2 linked regions of the Oryzias latipes genome follow. The protein of the gene in region 1 purifies or fractionates together with the protein of each later gene. This does not show direct contact. Links are inferred from orthologs where the notes say so. Each region holds a gene or a part of one and is shown in the gene's direction. Other genes may lie near its edges.

Evidence for each region.
Region 2: the proteins of poc1a (region 1) and nudc purify together in Homo sapiens (co-immunoprecipitation; 3 studies listed by BioGRID and IntAct, with this or other methods). This does not show direct contact. The link is inferred for Oryzias latipes from reciprocal best matches to the Homo sapiens genes POC1A and NUDC.

Annotation. Positions count from the first base shown.
Region 1 is NC_019863.2:9,992,070-9,995,889, reverse strand, and holds part of poc1a (POC1 centriolar protein homolog A), read left to right. Parts: intron 1-2,419; coding exon 2,420-2,689; intron 2,690-3,820.
Region 2 is NC_019869.2:25,831,880-25,835,799, forward strand, and holds the start of nudc (nuclear migration protein nudC), read left to right. Parts: upstream 1-1,209; 5' UTR 1,210-1,331; coding exon 1,332-1,406; intron 1,407-2,343; coding exon 2,344-2,421; intron 2,422-2,497; coding exon 2,498-2,710; intron 2,711-2,792; coding exon 2,793-2,867; intron 2,868-2,942; coding exon 2,943-3,056; intron 3,057-3,920. UniProt on the Homo sapiens protein: Plays a role in neurogenesis and neuronal migration. Necessary for correct formation of mitotic spindles and chromosome separation during mitosis. Necessary for cytokinesis and cell proliferation.

The DNA of each region.
Region 1 (3,820 bases):
TCTCTAATTTCCTAATTTCTAACAACTGCATGCAAGGGACGCACAGGAAAGGAATTCTAATCCCTTTAGTTTATTCATTCATCTTCTAAACCCGTTTTATCCCTTTCGAGGTCACCGGGTTGCCGAAGCCTATCCCGGCCACTTGTGGGTGAAGGCAGGGAACATCCTGGACAGGTTAGCAGTCTGTTTCAGGGCCACAAATCACACACCCCTGAAGACCCGCATTAACACCTATGGACAATTTAGATTAACCAATTGACCTATGCAGCATGTTTTTGGATGGTGGGATGAAGTTGGAGTCCCCAGAGAAAACCCACGCATGCACGGGGAGAACATGCAAACTCCACACAGATAGCTCCCCCATTGGTGGTCTGTTCCGGGTCGCCCAGCCAGGACTTGCGAGTTGGAGCCTTCTTGCTGTGAGCCTCTAATCCCTTTAATGTTCTACCTATTATTTATTTTAATGTGCAAAAAAAATCTTACAGGTTTTTTTGACAAACTTGATGAGGCAGGTGAAGATTTACAACAGCTCATCTGAGTTTAATATAGTGCTTGACTCTGCGTGTAACCAGTCATGGATGGGCTAAGACTACCAAAAATGAAAAAACCTAAAACTGTCTACCAAGTTTTGGTCATAAGGTCTTTGAGAGTGATGTTCTTTGAGGAGTTTCTGCGGGTTTCTGTGTGAAATAGTACAGAAATGTAAGTCACTAAGCTTATATGATTTATATAATGTACTTAGCCATGTTGTTTGGCCTAGAGGCAGCAGCACTGAGGAAAAGACAGGAAGCAGAGCTGGAGATGGCAGAGATGAAGATGCTGAGGTCTGTTTGGGAGTGACCAAGATGGATGGGATCAGGAATGAGGACATCAGAAGGACGGCACATGTTAGAGGTTTTGGAGATGAAGCCAGAGAGGCCAGACTGAGATGGTTTGGACATGTCCAGAGGAGAGACAGTGAATATATTGGTAGAAGGATGCTGCGTCTAGAGCTGCCAGGCAAAAGGTCTAGAGGAAGACCAAAGAGGATATGATGCAGTGATTGAAGACGTGAAGGTAGCTGGTGTTATAGTAGAGGATTCAGAAGACAGGGTTAGATGGAGGAAGCAGATTCACTGTGGCGACTCCCAAATGGAAAACCCGAAAGGAAAAGAAGATGAGTTCAAATTTATTCATCTGGTTTTTCCGCACATGAGTTACATATTTACATCTTCTTAAAAAATGGTTTTACAGGTTCTACGTAGATACTTTGTGTTTTTTATGCTGGTAATTGATCTGTTGAAGCCACACCGCAGATTATGTAGAGCGGCAAGTATATCTGTAATTTCACAGAAAAGGGCATAAAAAAGAAGCCTGTGGGATGGAGCTCTCCAATTATATGAGCAGAAATAAATAAATACAAATTGGAGGCCAAGTTTTTATGCAAACAGAACTGAGATTTTAGATTTATAAACTTATGGCACAGCTTGACAGAAGACCGTTTAAAAAAATAAACAAACCTGCATTCAACTACAAAAGAAATACATTTGTATAAACCAAGAAAATCCACCCTTAAACATTAAAAATATGACCCTTCTTTATTTACACTCTCTTATTGTAACCTCAGATTCATAAGGCATTTAAAGCTGTATTTTAAAAATCAAAATCTAATTGATCTTTAGCCACAAGATGCAATACTCATTTGTAAAATCCTTTCATTCATTATTATTTCTGCTCTAGTTGCTCCTTTTTTATGTTGGTTTTTATCCTTTTTATGTCTACTGTTTCTTTTTCAATTGAGTAGCATCGGAATTTTGTTGTTTTTCATTGAATCTTTTGAATCTTTGAATCTTGAATCTTTTTTTATCTAAAAGGTACTATTTTCACTATTTCAAGTGTAACTTTTGCTTGTTACAAAACTTGAGTAAAAAGTCTTTCATGATTTGAAATGAGAAAAACAAATAAACCAACTTGGATCAAATTGTGAATCAAATCAAGTTTTTATGTCATGAATCCTTTCAAGTTTTCTTTTTTTCCTCTGTTTTGATCAAAATTGGCCAGAAAAAAAAAAAGCCTGAATCTTTTTTAAGAGGGGTTATCAAATAATAATAAATCATATACGTCTGTCTTGCCTTCTACTGTCAATCACACATTTTGTTCATGGGCTTGAGAAATTCAGATTTACACACATTTTTCCACATGTGTACTTATTTTTCCCCCCCTTTTTTGTAAGATTAAAAAAAAAAGTACATTTTAACCCTTTAGTTAACGGTTTCCCCCCGTTCAGTGTTTCTAGCACATTTTTCTAGTGTCTCAGTGGATAACATATGGAAAACACCTATATCTAGTTAACATCTTTTCCTTTCAGGACTGAAGCCCATCTGGAATATTGCGGGGTCTTTTTTATTTCCTCCTTTAAGTTTGTCCTCTCTTTCTGCAGACATCTGAACCAGCAGAGCATGTTAACAGACAGGAATCTCAAACTGCTTCCCACGCTCAGAGCTTCAGTCATGGAAGTCACAGCAGAGCCGCTCATTCCCAAGTCTACAGGGACCCCAGCATCAGCTCCTCTTCCACCCGACAAACTCAGACTACACAGCTGCCTTCACGCCACCATCAATCAGACAGCCATACTTCAGATGGAAAGGTTCCTTCTGGCATAGCGAACGCACTGGAACACATTATAGGCCAGCTGGATATTCTTACTCAGGTAAGCAAAAGATGTTCTAAGCTGTCATGACAAATAACCTGTGACCCGTCCAGATAGATGTGGGTTCAGAGCACAGACACAGAACCTCTACTAGGTTCTTCACTAGTAAATGAATCCACAGGTGTGTGTTTTATATTCTCCATACAGACTGAAATTACGGCAGTTGGTCTTAACAGATCCAGTGATCCAGTCCATGCTGGGCAGCAGTAAAAGCAACATGTTTTTGAAGTAATTTTATGCTGACTGTTAAAATAAAATGTTGTTTCATCCCAAAGAAACACTAAAAGCAGAAAAATTAAATATAAGTTTTGAATAATTTCTTTCTTGTGCTGCAAAACAGGCACCTTAGAAATAAGTTATCAATCTTCCCCAATTGACAGACTTTCTTTAAATAAGCAAAAAAAGAAAATCTGCCAATTGGGTAAGAACAATGGTCTTACCAAGAATTCTTATTTTTAGAGTAAAAATTGTAGTCATTAAGACATGTTTTTTTCAAACTAAGACTATTTTACTCTTGAAAAACTTTCTTGATAAGATGGTTTCTTTTGCAAGACAGAAAATAAGACATTCTTTCTTGAAACAAGGCTCTTTACTTTAAGATTCTGTTTTTACAGTGTAGGGCATGGGAAATAATGAGACTTTGATTTGGCAAAAGGCAGATAGTTTACCTTGATAAACCAACTTAAAAATGTTCTACCTCTCATTGCTTTGTTATTTATTGAGTTACAGTTAAGCATCTTTGCAAAAATGATAAACACTACAAGAACATCAAAATCCTGTCAACAACCTGTCAACTTTTCGACAACATCAACCTCTCCGGTCGCTGTGTGCAGCTCAACTTCCATCTCCACAAACTCAGGAAAAAATAGAGCTGAAGTTTAGCTAGTTAAAGGCGCTAAAAAAAAACAAAGAAAGGTAACAGGTTAAAGAGGAATTCCCTGCAGCGGAAGGGAAAAATCCCCCATCAGTGAAGCAGCTGATCAGTTACAACAAGCTGCGTCACAGATACATATGGTACATTAAAGGTTTTTCTTCCTATTCATTCATTTGTTACTTAAAGTTTTTTTTGGTAGCTTCTCTTCTATAGTAGTTTGCACATTGACCCCCTCTTTTATTTTCGTTCCATAGATT
Region 2 (3,920 bases), on another chromosome or scaffold:
TTTTACTTTTTGCTAAAAACTATAAGAATTATGTTTTTCATCCGATTTCAAAGAATTTTAGATAAATACTCAGTCTATTCCTAAATTTTAAAAAGCAACACAAAAGAAAATAGGGTTTTATTTGAATAAAACAGTTTGGCAAGACAATATGGTAGAAGTGTGGGCATGAAGAACTGCAGAAGAACAAAAGTTTGTACATATAGGTTTAAGGAAGAGGAGAAATTAATCTTTTTTTTTTTTAATTGTCTGTCAGTCTGCCTCAGAGCAGCAGTGGATACATCAGTAGTTACAACCAAGCATGAAGGAATAAAGGACCCATTATAAGCACTTTTACCGTCTGGAAAAGCACAGATAAGTCCAATCCATTATTATTATTACGTTTTTTATAAAATAAATGGAATTTCAGTGCAGCATGAAACCTGCCTGTCCTGTCCTGATGAAGAGCAGATGATGAGAGGACCTCCGCTCTGGGGTTTTCCATGTGAGCCTGGAGCTACAGCTGGAAGAACATAACCCTGTTTCACCTTTTGGAAAAATAAGTTTTCCAAAAACATAGTTTGTATTTAAACCGTGGTATGATGACGTCACGCCGCTGCCCATCACATCTGCTGCAGTGGTAAACAACAAACTCTACTGATGCATAAACCACAGGTTTTATCTGTAGAAGAAAATGTCTCCACAGCAGGTACTCGGACTAAAACACTCCAGACATTTTCAAAGAAATAAAAGAATAAGGATGTTGGCTCATAAATGATGTGCATGGAGTTCCTGTTTTTGTTAATAAAGACATTGCTTTTAACCAGTGAGTTTGTTTGGAAAGATCTGTTTAAAAAAGCTTTTACGGCAAATGATTTATTTTTATTTGACAAATAAACTATGCATTGTTTTAAGCATGGCTAACATGTGGCACATGTCAAGTTTAATGATCCTCCTCAAAACCATGGTTTTAACCCTTTTTCTAATACGTACACAAACTTAGAAAGGTATATTTTCCAAAACATGAAAACATTTTTTGAATATAAAATTATAGCGTCTAAAAATGTTTGAAGTAAAAATAGAATTTATCTATAGTTAAAACTGTCAGACTTTTAATCTAGAAGATTCCTTCCTGCGCAGGGAACTTCCGGTCCCGCCTGAGCGGAAGCTCGATCGGATTGGACATTTCACTTGTCATTTAAAAGGGATTGCTCCAATTGGTCAAATCGGCCATGGGCGGAGTTTTGTTTCCAGGAAGTGCCAAGCGTGATCAGAGCCTCTCACTGCCGCGCCGAGGGAAGTTTTCTCTTGTTTCTACCAAAAGTCTTTCTTCTTTTTCTGAATCCACCACCAACATGGGCGATGAGGAGGAGAAGTATGACGGCATGTTGCTGGTTATGGCGCAGCAGCACGAAGGAGGAGTGCAGGAGGTGCGTAGATCCGAGATGCTAACGCCGAAGCTAATCATGATGGGCTGAAATGCTGAGGAGCCGCAGCACCTGGTCAACATTGACACCGTTAGGAAGTCTGGAGGATTTTCAGTTTCAAATCCACATTGCTTTGAGCTCATTTAACTATTCTGCTATGAAAAAGTCGTTTCCTTACGGAGATCCCCACTAAACGTTCAGTTTCCTTCAATTTGATGTTTTTTGACCGGATACTATACCTGTGTATTCTCAGTAATGGACATAACATCTTTCAAAACTTTGCTCTTGAGAACCAGTAATTTAAATAAGCTTTACTTTAGAAATATCTTAACCTTATCATAATTGACCAGACATTTGTCTCTTTCTTAAAGTTCAGCTTTTTCAGCCTTCTTGGAGCATGTTTACGTCAGAAGTCCAGAGTTTTAGTCTGCAATCAGCCTCCAGTTAGCAGCTTTAGTTACTGACTGCAAAGCAATTCCATGTTCTCAAAAGGAAATTCATATATTTGTTCTTTTTCTGGACTAAATGACTGTTTTTCATCAACCTCAGTGGTGAATTGATTCATTTTTAAAATCTGAATTATAAAATAACCTAATAGGATTTCTGTCTGTTCCTCAATGTTAAATTCCTCATGTCAGATACTTGAAAAAATGACATCAAAATGACTATTTGACTGTATTGTGTGTAGCAGAAGTCTTTTTGCCCTTTGTGTGGTAAGTTAAGGTTTTGTTAGGAATAATCGTTGCTGGGGAAATAGAAAAAATATACTTTTTCTGAAACATTTGGAATGTTTAAATTTAAAGCCTGAGGCGACGGTTTAATCCCAAAGTGTCCAGGTGAGTTGGGTGTGGAGGACAGAGAGGCTTTGTGGTTGAGAGCTCTGCACCGTCCTCTGCAGAAAACCTTGGCCTGAGCTCACAGCCTGCTTTTGCTTCAACAGTTAGTGAACACGTTCTTCAGCTTCCTCCGACGTAAAACAGATTTCTTCATCGGAGGAGACTCTGGTGCAGCAGAGAAGGTGAGCGGAGCTTCTGCCTGTTGGAGATGGACGGACGTGTTGTCCTCCGTTCACCAGCCTCTCTGTCCTCTTTCAGCTGGTCAAAGAAGCCTTCGATCACCACAACAAGTTAGCCATGAAGGCCCAGAGGGAGAAGCAGATGAGACAGGAGAAGGAAAAGAAGGAGAAAGCTGAAAGAGCCGCCAAGCTGGCAGAGGAGGAGGAGGAGAGGAGGAAAAACCAAGATGGACCCAGAATTCAGGAACTGACAGACGAAGAAGCAGAGAAACTGCAGTCTGAGCTGGACAAAGTAAACTCTTTGATTCTTTATGAAGGTTGATTTAAAGAAAACAAGTTCCGCTGTGATGTTCACCTTTCTGTGTTTTTAAAAGCAAAAAGACGACGAAAAGGAGGAGGGACGAGCAAACGCAGAGAAAACGCCGGACAAGGCAGACAAAGAGAAGGGGGTGAGTGGCGCTCTGCTGGTGATGAAGAGGACAGCTTCATCTCAGGCTTCATCTCTGGCTTTTTCTGTGTTTCAGTCTGATTCTGAGGAAGAGGAGGACGAGAAGGACAAGGGAAAGCTGAAGCCAAACTCTGGGAATGGAGCAGATCTGCCCAACTACAAGTGGACGCAGACGCTGTCTGAAGTCGATGTGAGTTCTTCATGATTCACACACACAATACATAAAATGGTGAACGCATGGAAAGGAACACGAAGGCCCCCGTCACTAAAGGCTGAATCCGCCCCCGTCACTTAAGGCCGACTCCGCCCCCGTCACTTAAGGCCGACTCCGCCCCCGTCACTTAAGGCCGACTCCGCCCCCGTCACTTAAGGCCGACTCCGCCCCCGTCACTTAAGGCCGACTCCGCCCCCGTCACTTAAGGCCGACTCCGCCCACGTCACTTAAGGCCGACTCCGCCCACGTCACTTAAGGCCGACACCGCCCACGTCACTTAAGGCCGACTCCGCCCACGTCACTTAAGGCCGACTCCGCCCCCGTCACTTAAGGCCGACTCCGCCCCCGTCACTAAAGGCCGACTCCGCCCAGACAATAAATGCCGACTCCGCCCCCGTCACTAAAGGTCGACTCCGCCCCGGTCACTAAAGGCCGACTCCGCCCCCGTCACTTAAGGCCGACTCCGCCCCCGTCACTTAAGGCCGACTCCGCCCCCGTCACTGAAGGCCGACTCCGCCCCCGTCACTGAAGGCCGACTCCGCCCCCGTCACTGAAGGCCGACTCCGCCCCCGTCACTGAAGGCCGACTCCGCCCCCGTCACTGAAGGCCGACTCCGCCCCCGTCACTGAAGGCCGACTCCGCCCCCGTCACTGAAGGCCGACTCCGCCCCCGTCACTGAAGGCCGACTCCGCCCCGGTCACTGAAGGCCGACTCCGCCCCCGTCACTGAAGGCCGGCTCCTCCCCCGTCACTGAAGGCCGACTCCGCCCCCGTCACTGAAGGCCGGCTCCTCCCCCGTCACTGAAGGCCGACTCCGCCCCCGTCACTGAAGGCCGACTCC